Linked DNA regions of Pelodiscus sinensis. The protein of the gene in region 2 purifies or fractionates together with the protein of the main gene of each other region. This does not show direct contact. Links are inferred from orthologs where the notes say so. Each region holds a gene or a part of one and is shown on either strand. Other genes may lie near its edges.

The links.
Region 1: the proteins of NEURL4 (region 2) and CCP110 purify together in Homo sapiens (affinity purification with western blotting; 4 studies listed by BioGRID and IntAct, with this or other methods). This does not show direct contact. The link is inferred for Pelodiscus sinensis from reciprocal best matches to the Homo sapiens genes NEURL4 and CCP110.

What each region holds. Positions count from the first base shown.
Region 1 is NC_134726.1:21,046,475-21,050,388, reverse strand, and holds the start of CCP110 (centriolar coiled-coil protein of 110 kDa), read right to left. Parts: upstream 2,812-3,914; 5' UTR 2,711-2,811; intron 2,684-2,710; exon of another isoform or gene 1,959-2,683; intron 1-1,958.
Region 2 is NC_134734.1:9,809,332-9,813,245, forward strand, and holds the start of NEURL4 (neuralized-like protein 4), read right to left. Parts: upstream 2,748-3,914; 5' UTR 2,689-2,747; coding exon 2,515-2,688; intron 2,356-2,514; coding exon 1,977-2,355; intron 1-1,976. UniProt on the Homo sapiens protein: Promotes CCP110 ubiquitination and proteasome-dependent degradation. By counteracting accumulation of CP110, maintains normal centriolar homeostasis and preventing formation of ectopic microtubular organizing centers.

The DNA.
Region 1 (3,914 bases), on a different chromosome or scaffold from region 2:
ATTTAGAAAATTAACAAGATTTATACAAGCAGTCCCCGGGTTACATGGATCCGACTTACATCAGATCCCTACTTACAAACGGGGTGAGACAACCCCGCACTAGCTGCTTCCCCCCAGCAGACCAGGGAGACGCGAAGCTAGCGCCCGCCGCCCCCCTCCCCCCCTCAGCAGACCAGGGAGACGCAGAGTGGCTTTTCTCAGCAGACACCTCAGCTTGAGAATAAAGGACTGAGGGAAGTGAGGTGCGGGAGAATAAAACTGAGCTCTGGAGAAATGTTTGGCTAGAGTTTCCCCTACAATATGTACCAGTTCCGACTTACATACAAATTCAACTTAAGAACAAACCTACAGTCCCTATCTTGTACATAACTTGGGGACTGCCTGTATTGTTTTCACCTTCAATGAGTGCAAGATGAATGCAGTAGTATTGTTTTACAAAAAAAATCACCCTCCATTGAATGCTTTTTCGAGTGAGTAAAGAAACAGGCAGCTCAATATAAATCATAATGATTTCATCACAAGAATATATGGTTCCCTTCAATTATGATGTACCATGATAAAGATTTACAGTACAGAATGCACTGTTATAAATAAGTCACTTAAGTTAACAATAGAAGGCAAAGACATATTTGCAGGTGCTGTAGTTAATCAAACACCTGTAACAATCATTTTCACTACAGGTGACTGAGAAGCACTAGTGAGGACAGAAGGGCACTTAATTACATGCCCTGATATTTACATTTGGAATTGATATAATTATTCCATTGGTGAAACCTGAAGACACCCTAAGCCCATGAAAATTAGTTCCTGAAGAATTTTTAACACCATGGCAGATTTAAAACTTGCAAAAGTCTATATACCTTGTTTAACTGAACACAAGGTTAAACAAATAAAGAATGGGGGCAATACATCTTTGATGATCTTTTTAAAATTACTTTTTATCCCATCTCTCCACTAATACACAAAATCCTCCTTCCAAACCCATGAGTACATTTATTTGACTTGTGTTCTCACAGATATTAAATATGGTTATTAAAAATCCCCACAGATTACTAGAATTCTAAAATGGCATTATAACCAACAGGTGCAATTTACTCCAGCATCCTGATGATAATGTTATCACTGCTGGAATTACAGCTTTACTGGGGGGGAGGAGGAGATACAAATCACAAAGTGTATTCTTAATCTTCTGTACAACAATTTGTGCAATTCTGAGACTGAAGGGAAAAGCCACACCAAAGTTTGGAAGTTGTGGACAGAAATAGTGTTACATTACTGTAAATTACTGATGATGTACCTAAAATTAGCAAACACATTCCTGGGTTGGTAAGTTATTAACCTTGAAGGCAGTGGGGCTCTGCTTAAGACCCCCCAGCTCAACAATTTGAGCTCAGAACAAAAGAAAAGATAAGAAAATTCTGCTACTAATAGCAAAACTGCTTATTCCCCATCTTTACAGAATTGCTTTTTTCCACAGTATAAATTCACTGCCCTTCTGCACTAAGTGATAGGAAGAACTGCTATAAAAATAACCCAATCTGAAGAATGTGGGCTTTTCAGCAAAAGCCCCCAAACCATGTGCAGGAGGAAATTAAGATTTGAGTCACTGAATCTGATTGTTTTTGGAGTCTCCATAACATTCTACTTGTACTAAAAATTACTGAGCCAAGCAAAAAATCTCAGCTGGTGACGGTCTTGTGTGCTGATTTGCTTTCAGGATGGTTAGGGGTCAAGAAGTTATTGGGGGCCAGCTGTCTATCACCTCTCTCTTCTACCAGATCAGCTCTCCTTGCAGAACCCAAATGCCTATGTTCAATTTCAGGCTCTCTTGCAAACTGGATGGAAACTGGAAATTCCCTACAAATGATAAAACTGGTTCAACCACAAACCACCACCACCAATGTTGATATGGCAGCCCCCGTCCAAATTAAAAATTCACAGCCACGCAAGAAACTCACAAGACATGTTAGTCCTCTCTCTCCTTTGGGTTGTCTCGTTCTTGTTACTGCCTTCGTCCAAGAAGCCCCTCCCTGAAGCTTCAGTCTCCTGATTTCTACGCAGCCCCCACCCTCTCTTCATTCAAACCCCTCATTCTGGTTGGTCCACCTGCTCTAACCCCCCGCCCCAGAAAGCAGCTGCCTTCCCCGCCCCCCAAAAGAACAGCACTCAGCTCCTCCCACCCTCAACTCAAACCTTCCCCCGGAGCCTGGGCTCCGCTACAGCCGCCTCTTGGGACTGGGCCCCGTTTTATCCAGCGCCGAACACCTCACAGCTGACACCGAGGGGCAGCGGGCGGGGGGGGGGGGGTTTGGAGGGGGGGATGGGGAGAAAGTCAGACGCCGGCGGCTTCCCCCCCCCCCACACGCCGGTGAGGCAGAGGGAGTTCTGGAGGGTTCCCGCCTACGGAGGTGGCGGCCCCTCAGGTCCAGGCGGGGGGAGGAGACGCGGAATCAGCCGCAGGCCCCGGCGCGCGCGCACACTCCGCTCCGCGGCCGGGGCAGACCCCGGTACCTGCTACGGGCCCCCACGGTGGCGGATCCGTTGCTGGCGGGCCCAGCGCACCCAGGTTCCCTGCACAGAGCGCGCTGCAGCGCTCCCCGCCAGGCAGCAGCGGGCTCCTGGCAACCGCAAATCCCGCCGCACCCCGCCCCTCTCCCCAGCGCCAGCCTTCCCACTACCCCCTCAGAGCTTCCGGCTGCAGGCGACTCACCGAGCCGTTCGGCCCAAGGGCGGGACGGAGATACTACAAATCCCAGCATGCAGTGCTTCTCCGCGACCACTTCCTCTCGCCATTTGAGGGTTGCATGCTGGGAATGGTAGTCCTATTGAGCCCTAAGCAGCTTGCCTCAATAGGGAGCATTGTGCGCAAGGTTCTGTAGTTTGAGCCGGGGTGCACTGTACTGCACTTCTCAATTGAATGTGAAGATGACTTCGATTTTATATCGGGTGTAGGGAGTTTTGCTTCCCATGCTAATATTCCCAGAATCATCCCAATTCATAGGTGCTACCACACGCCTTCACTTGATGTAGTTTTCATCATACATGGGGTTTGCAGTTTGGGTCAGTGATTCTCAGCACTCCGACTGTACACATTGTTCCAGCACCTGTGCTGATTTTCAGTGGAATATATGCACCCGTCCTAATATCATTTCAAGGACCCTGAAATCAGTACCATCTTTACACTGCATCACCATAACCTTCTAGGAGAGGTGTCACCACACCACATTTCAGAGGTGATGATAGTTTGATGGACTGTAATATGTCAATGCAGCCCTAGGACAGAGGCATCACTCACACTCCAGCTTTATTCTTTTACACGAGTCATCAGACTCAAGCTTTCAGACTTTCTCAAGAATTCATCACTCCTGTCTCTTCAGCAGCCTTGGGTACACCAGCTACTAAAGTGTTCATCAAGTAGGCATTGTGGCAGGTTGGAAGAAGACACCGCTACCGCACTAAGCTCAGGCTATGTCATCTTAAAGTTGTAGAAACACTTAGTTTGGGGGGTAGGCATTAAAGTCAGGCTAATAGTTATCATCAGTAGCATGATCTTTACACCAATTATCAATTTAAATCTTATGAGCCTGCCTTTTGTTATCTTAAAATAACACAGAACTTGTCAAAAGATTTTAAAATACTTTTCTGACTCACTTAATCATTATAAATTATTTCAGACCTATATATGTTGGACTGGTTTTCTCAGGATACAGCCAGCCAGACTTATGACCAAAACTACTCTTATTACATTGTGGGTTCAGTGAGGCAGGCATTACTTGAACTAAGCACCTTTCGCACTACTTATTACTTAGAATTCCTGTGATATTACCATTGTCTGTTGATGCAGGAGAAAAAAAGATGAAAATTTAGCACAAAATCAGTTATAATCTGAGAAAAACTGTACCACTATCTGCAAC
Region 2 (3,914 bases):
TCAAAAGCACAGGGCCAGTGGGGGGGGGGTCCCCTGCTGGTCAGAGCAGGGCTTCCTGTTGAAGTGTTCAAAGACTGATGCACCACAGGGAATGTGGGGCCAGTGGGAGTCCCCCGCCACACCTGCGAGGCTTCCATTTTTGAACTGTAGCAAGAGCCTGGCAGGGCTCCTGCTATAGTTCAAAGGCAGAGGTGCCCTTATAGACTAATAGAATAGTCAATGGAAATCCCATCAACTATTCAATTAGTTACTTGATCTAAATTTAATATCTCTAAACACACATTTACATACATATATATAAGCAGTGTGCATGTGTGGAAGAAAATATATTCAAACAAGACACCTGTCTCTCGTTGCTGTGAGTTATCTATACCACAAAGGTGCTGTGCAAAGGTAGGGAATTAGCCTTCTTCCACTGGAGGAAGAGTAGAAGCCCCAGAACAAATTAACACATCACTTCAGGATTTGTAGACAGATGCATGTTTCAAAGAGCTTACAAATAAGGATTCATCCTACAAAACTTGCTACTTTGTGTCACAAGAGACAGAACTCTATCACATAGCAAAAATCTGGCCGTAATGCAACAATTTATCATGTATTAATTAGCAACACAGGATTTTTAAAAAGAATCATTAAATTCAGAGTTTTAGAGATCTACAATGCTTCAAACAAATCTGTTAAAAGAATCTTTTTCTTTCTTACCTTAAGCCATTAACACCCAAGTAAACTTTGTTTGAAATGTAATCATGCAAATGTCCTCCTGGCACACAAACCCCCCATACAGCCGGCTCTCCCCACCCCCAGCTTCTAACCCAGCCAGGGAGGATGGCAGCAAGTGAATCATGATACCCCAAACAGTCCTCCACCTCCACTTTATTGCACAGATGCCAGCATCCACCCACTCCCTCTTTCCCCCACCTCCCCCTTCCCAGCCTAGAAGGGTTGAAGAGACTGCTGGGTTTCTGCCTCCCCCTGCTCGGGCAGACAGGACTCTCCAAATTCCCCTCCCCTCTGTCTTCCCCCAAGCCAATTAATTACTCACTCACTCAGTCCTTCCTCCAGCCACTTATTCTGTCCTTATCTCGCCTGCTTATCTGCTCTGGGAGCTCTTCAGTTCAAGCAGCACAGCTCCTTTAACTGCTGCTTACAGTCACCCCACACCCCACTGGTCAGCTGAGCTCCCTGCCTGGGTGGGAGCTTTGAACCTCTGAGCAGGGGTCAGAAAATAGATGCGCAGTCGTGCAGCTTAGAGGAAACTTAGCACAGAAACTGTGCCAGACAGATAAACCCGCATTTCAGCCTATCAACTCCATAAGATTAACAAGACCCCACAGTGGTTGTGATGCTGATACCAAGTGGCAGATGGCATAAGGCATGTAGAAGAGTTCACAGGAATCCCTTGAATCTGATGTCTGTACAGAAGCCATCAAAAAGTAGAATGTGATGTTTCTACACACAGCAACATACTAGATGTACAGAGAGGTGATATTTACCGAGTTGTGTGTCTATACTGAAAATTATATTAAGAGTCTGGGTATTGGGAGCACCAGGCATGAAACAATAGACCTTACTCTTTGTTTATTCGGCCTCACAGTCCTCGTACATATTTCTATTTACATACAGCACCTCTGGCTAATCAAACCTAGGACACCGAAAAGCAGTGCTCCCTGTAAGCTGAGCATTTGGGCGGCCACCCAAGAGAATCAAATGCCACCCAGCTGATTAGCAGAGTGCCTACAGCTAGCAGCAGCCAGCAGCATGTGTTTCTACTGGTGGTGCAAATCCATACATGTCTCGGTGTATCTAACAAAATTTATTCTGCACACGGAAAAAATTAGAGGCAACAGTGCCAACAATAAAAGAGCATCTAGGAAGAGAAAAGCAGCATGGGGAAGTGTGCTGTTAAAGTAAATACAGTAGTATGGACAGAGATAGTATATGGTGACTCTGGGGCAGACAGAGAAGAAGTTCTCTACCTTCATCTCCTGCAGCTCCTTCCTCAGTCTCCTCTGGCTCACAGGGCACAACAGTGACCTGCGTACACTTGCCGTAGAGATCCACCACAGCCCAGACTCGGGGCGGGATGCCGGTGGCGGCCACACCGCAGTCCTGACCGTTTACCCAGAGGTGCAACTCCCCGTTGGCAGTGCGCTGGATGCCCACCCGGTCACCCTCACCCAGCTGATCCAAGTCCTGGCCATACTCCTCAAGGATGGAGCGCCCATCCCGCAGCACTGAGCAGCCAGAGATGACCCATGAGCCACCTTTCAGCCCTGTGGCACTGCTGGGGAAGTCCAAGTGGTCGGGGTCCAGGGCAGTCACCCCAATCTCAATGGAGCCGCTCCACGAGTTCACCTGAATGGTGGAGAGATGGAGAAAGTCAGCACCTGGCTTTCCGTGGGGAGCCCACAGCAGCCGGGTCCAGCCCCAACATGCCCCCTCCCGCTCGTCCACCGCCACCCAGATCGAGCCACTCTCAGCTCTTCCCCCTCCCCCGGCTCCAGCCCCCTGCACCTTGCGGTCGATGCGCACGGCGAAGACGCGACCCGGCCGCAGCGGCTCGCGGCTCAGCACCAGCCCGTGGTTGAACTCCTGACCCGGTTGGGACCGGGCGGCGCTGCGACCCCCTTGCGCCAGCGTCACCAGCTTCCCCGTACGCGGGTGCAACTCCGCGCCCGGGCCCGACATCCCGCCCACCGCGTTTTGCGGCAGCGCCGCGGCCGCTGCGCTTTACGGCCGTGTCGCTAATCCCCACGTCGTACCGCCACCACGCTTTACGGCATCGTCGCTGACGCTTACCGAGCGTCGCTGCGCTTTACAGTAGCGTCCCTCCTCAGCGAGACGTCCAACGCCGTACCGCTCTTCACAGAGTACCGCCGCGCTTTACGGCAGCGCCGCGACCCTTTTAAACGTTGCGACTAGTTTTTATGACAGTGGCGCTATTTCTCTGACGACCCCGTCACGCTTTACGGCACCCTCGCGAAATCTCCGTCGATGGGTACCGCCTTTTTTCACGACAGCGTTGAGATTTCTGTCAGAAGGTTGTACCGCGGTTTACAGCAGCTTTTCTCGTACACAGCGTCACTTCGCTTTACGGCACTGCGGCCTCGCTTTGCAACTGTGTGAATTTTTGCCCTGAGTCCCTGGGCTTCACGGCAAGGAATGAACGATCGGTTTGCTTTTGCGATGTGTGGCCGGTTCGCTTTACGGCAGTGCTGTGTGCGACGCACCGCGGGGTGGCACTTTCTGTTGCTAGGGCTTCCCCCTGCCTCCTCCCTGTCCCTGCACCTCTCCAGCGGCACGGGGCAGCGAGTGGCAGAGCTTCGGAGACAGAGACCTTCTTTTACAGCACCGCAGTGCACCAGAGATGATTTGCTTGACGGCAGCTTGGCCACAGTGCTTTTTCCCTTTCTTACCGCCGTTGCCCGGGTTACGGGGACGGCGCGGCTGGAGAAGGGGCCGTGACGTAAGCGCGGCTCGTGCTGTGGCGATTGTGGTGAGGGAGGAGCTGCCGTTCCAGTGATGGTGCAGGTCAAAGAGCTCGTTCGTGCAAAGGCCTGGTGCAATTCTGTAGTAGGTGATTGCACGGATTATTTGTGCACCTATCTAATGCAAAGCAGGACCGTTTTTAATTAGTGCAAATTGGTGCAATTCACTACTGGGAATACTAGGTGCAAATACAGTTAGTGCAAGAAATATCTAGGGCAAATGTGCAATTTTAATTAGTGCTAGTAATTTACTAGGGCAAATATTTGTGCAAACAATAAATTTAATGCATATAATTGGTGCATTTACAAGTGTATTTCACTAAGCTTGTGTTTTTTATCCTTACCCCGTCCTGTTAGTATGGCCTCATGTCACAGCAGGTTGATAGTTTCCTTGGGGTTGACAGCACTGTAAGAATTGCAAATAAT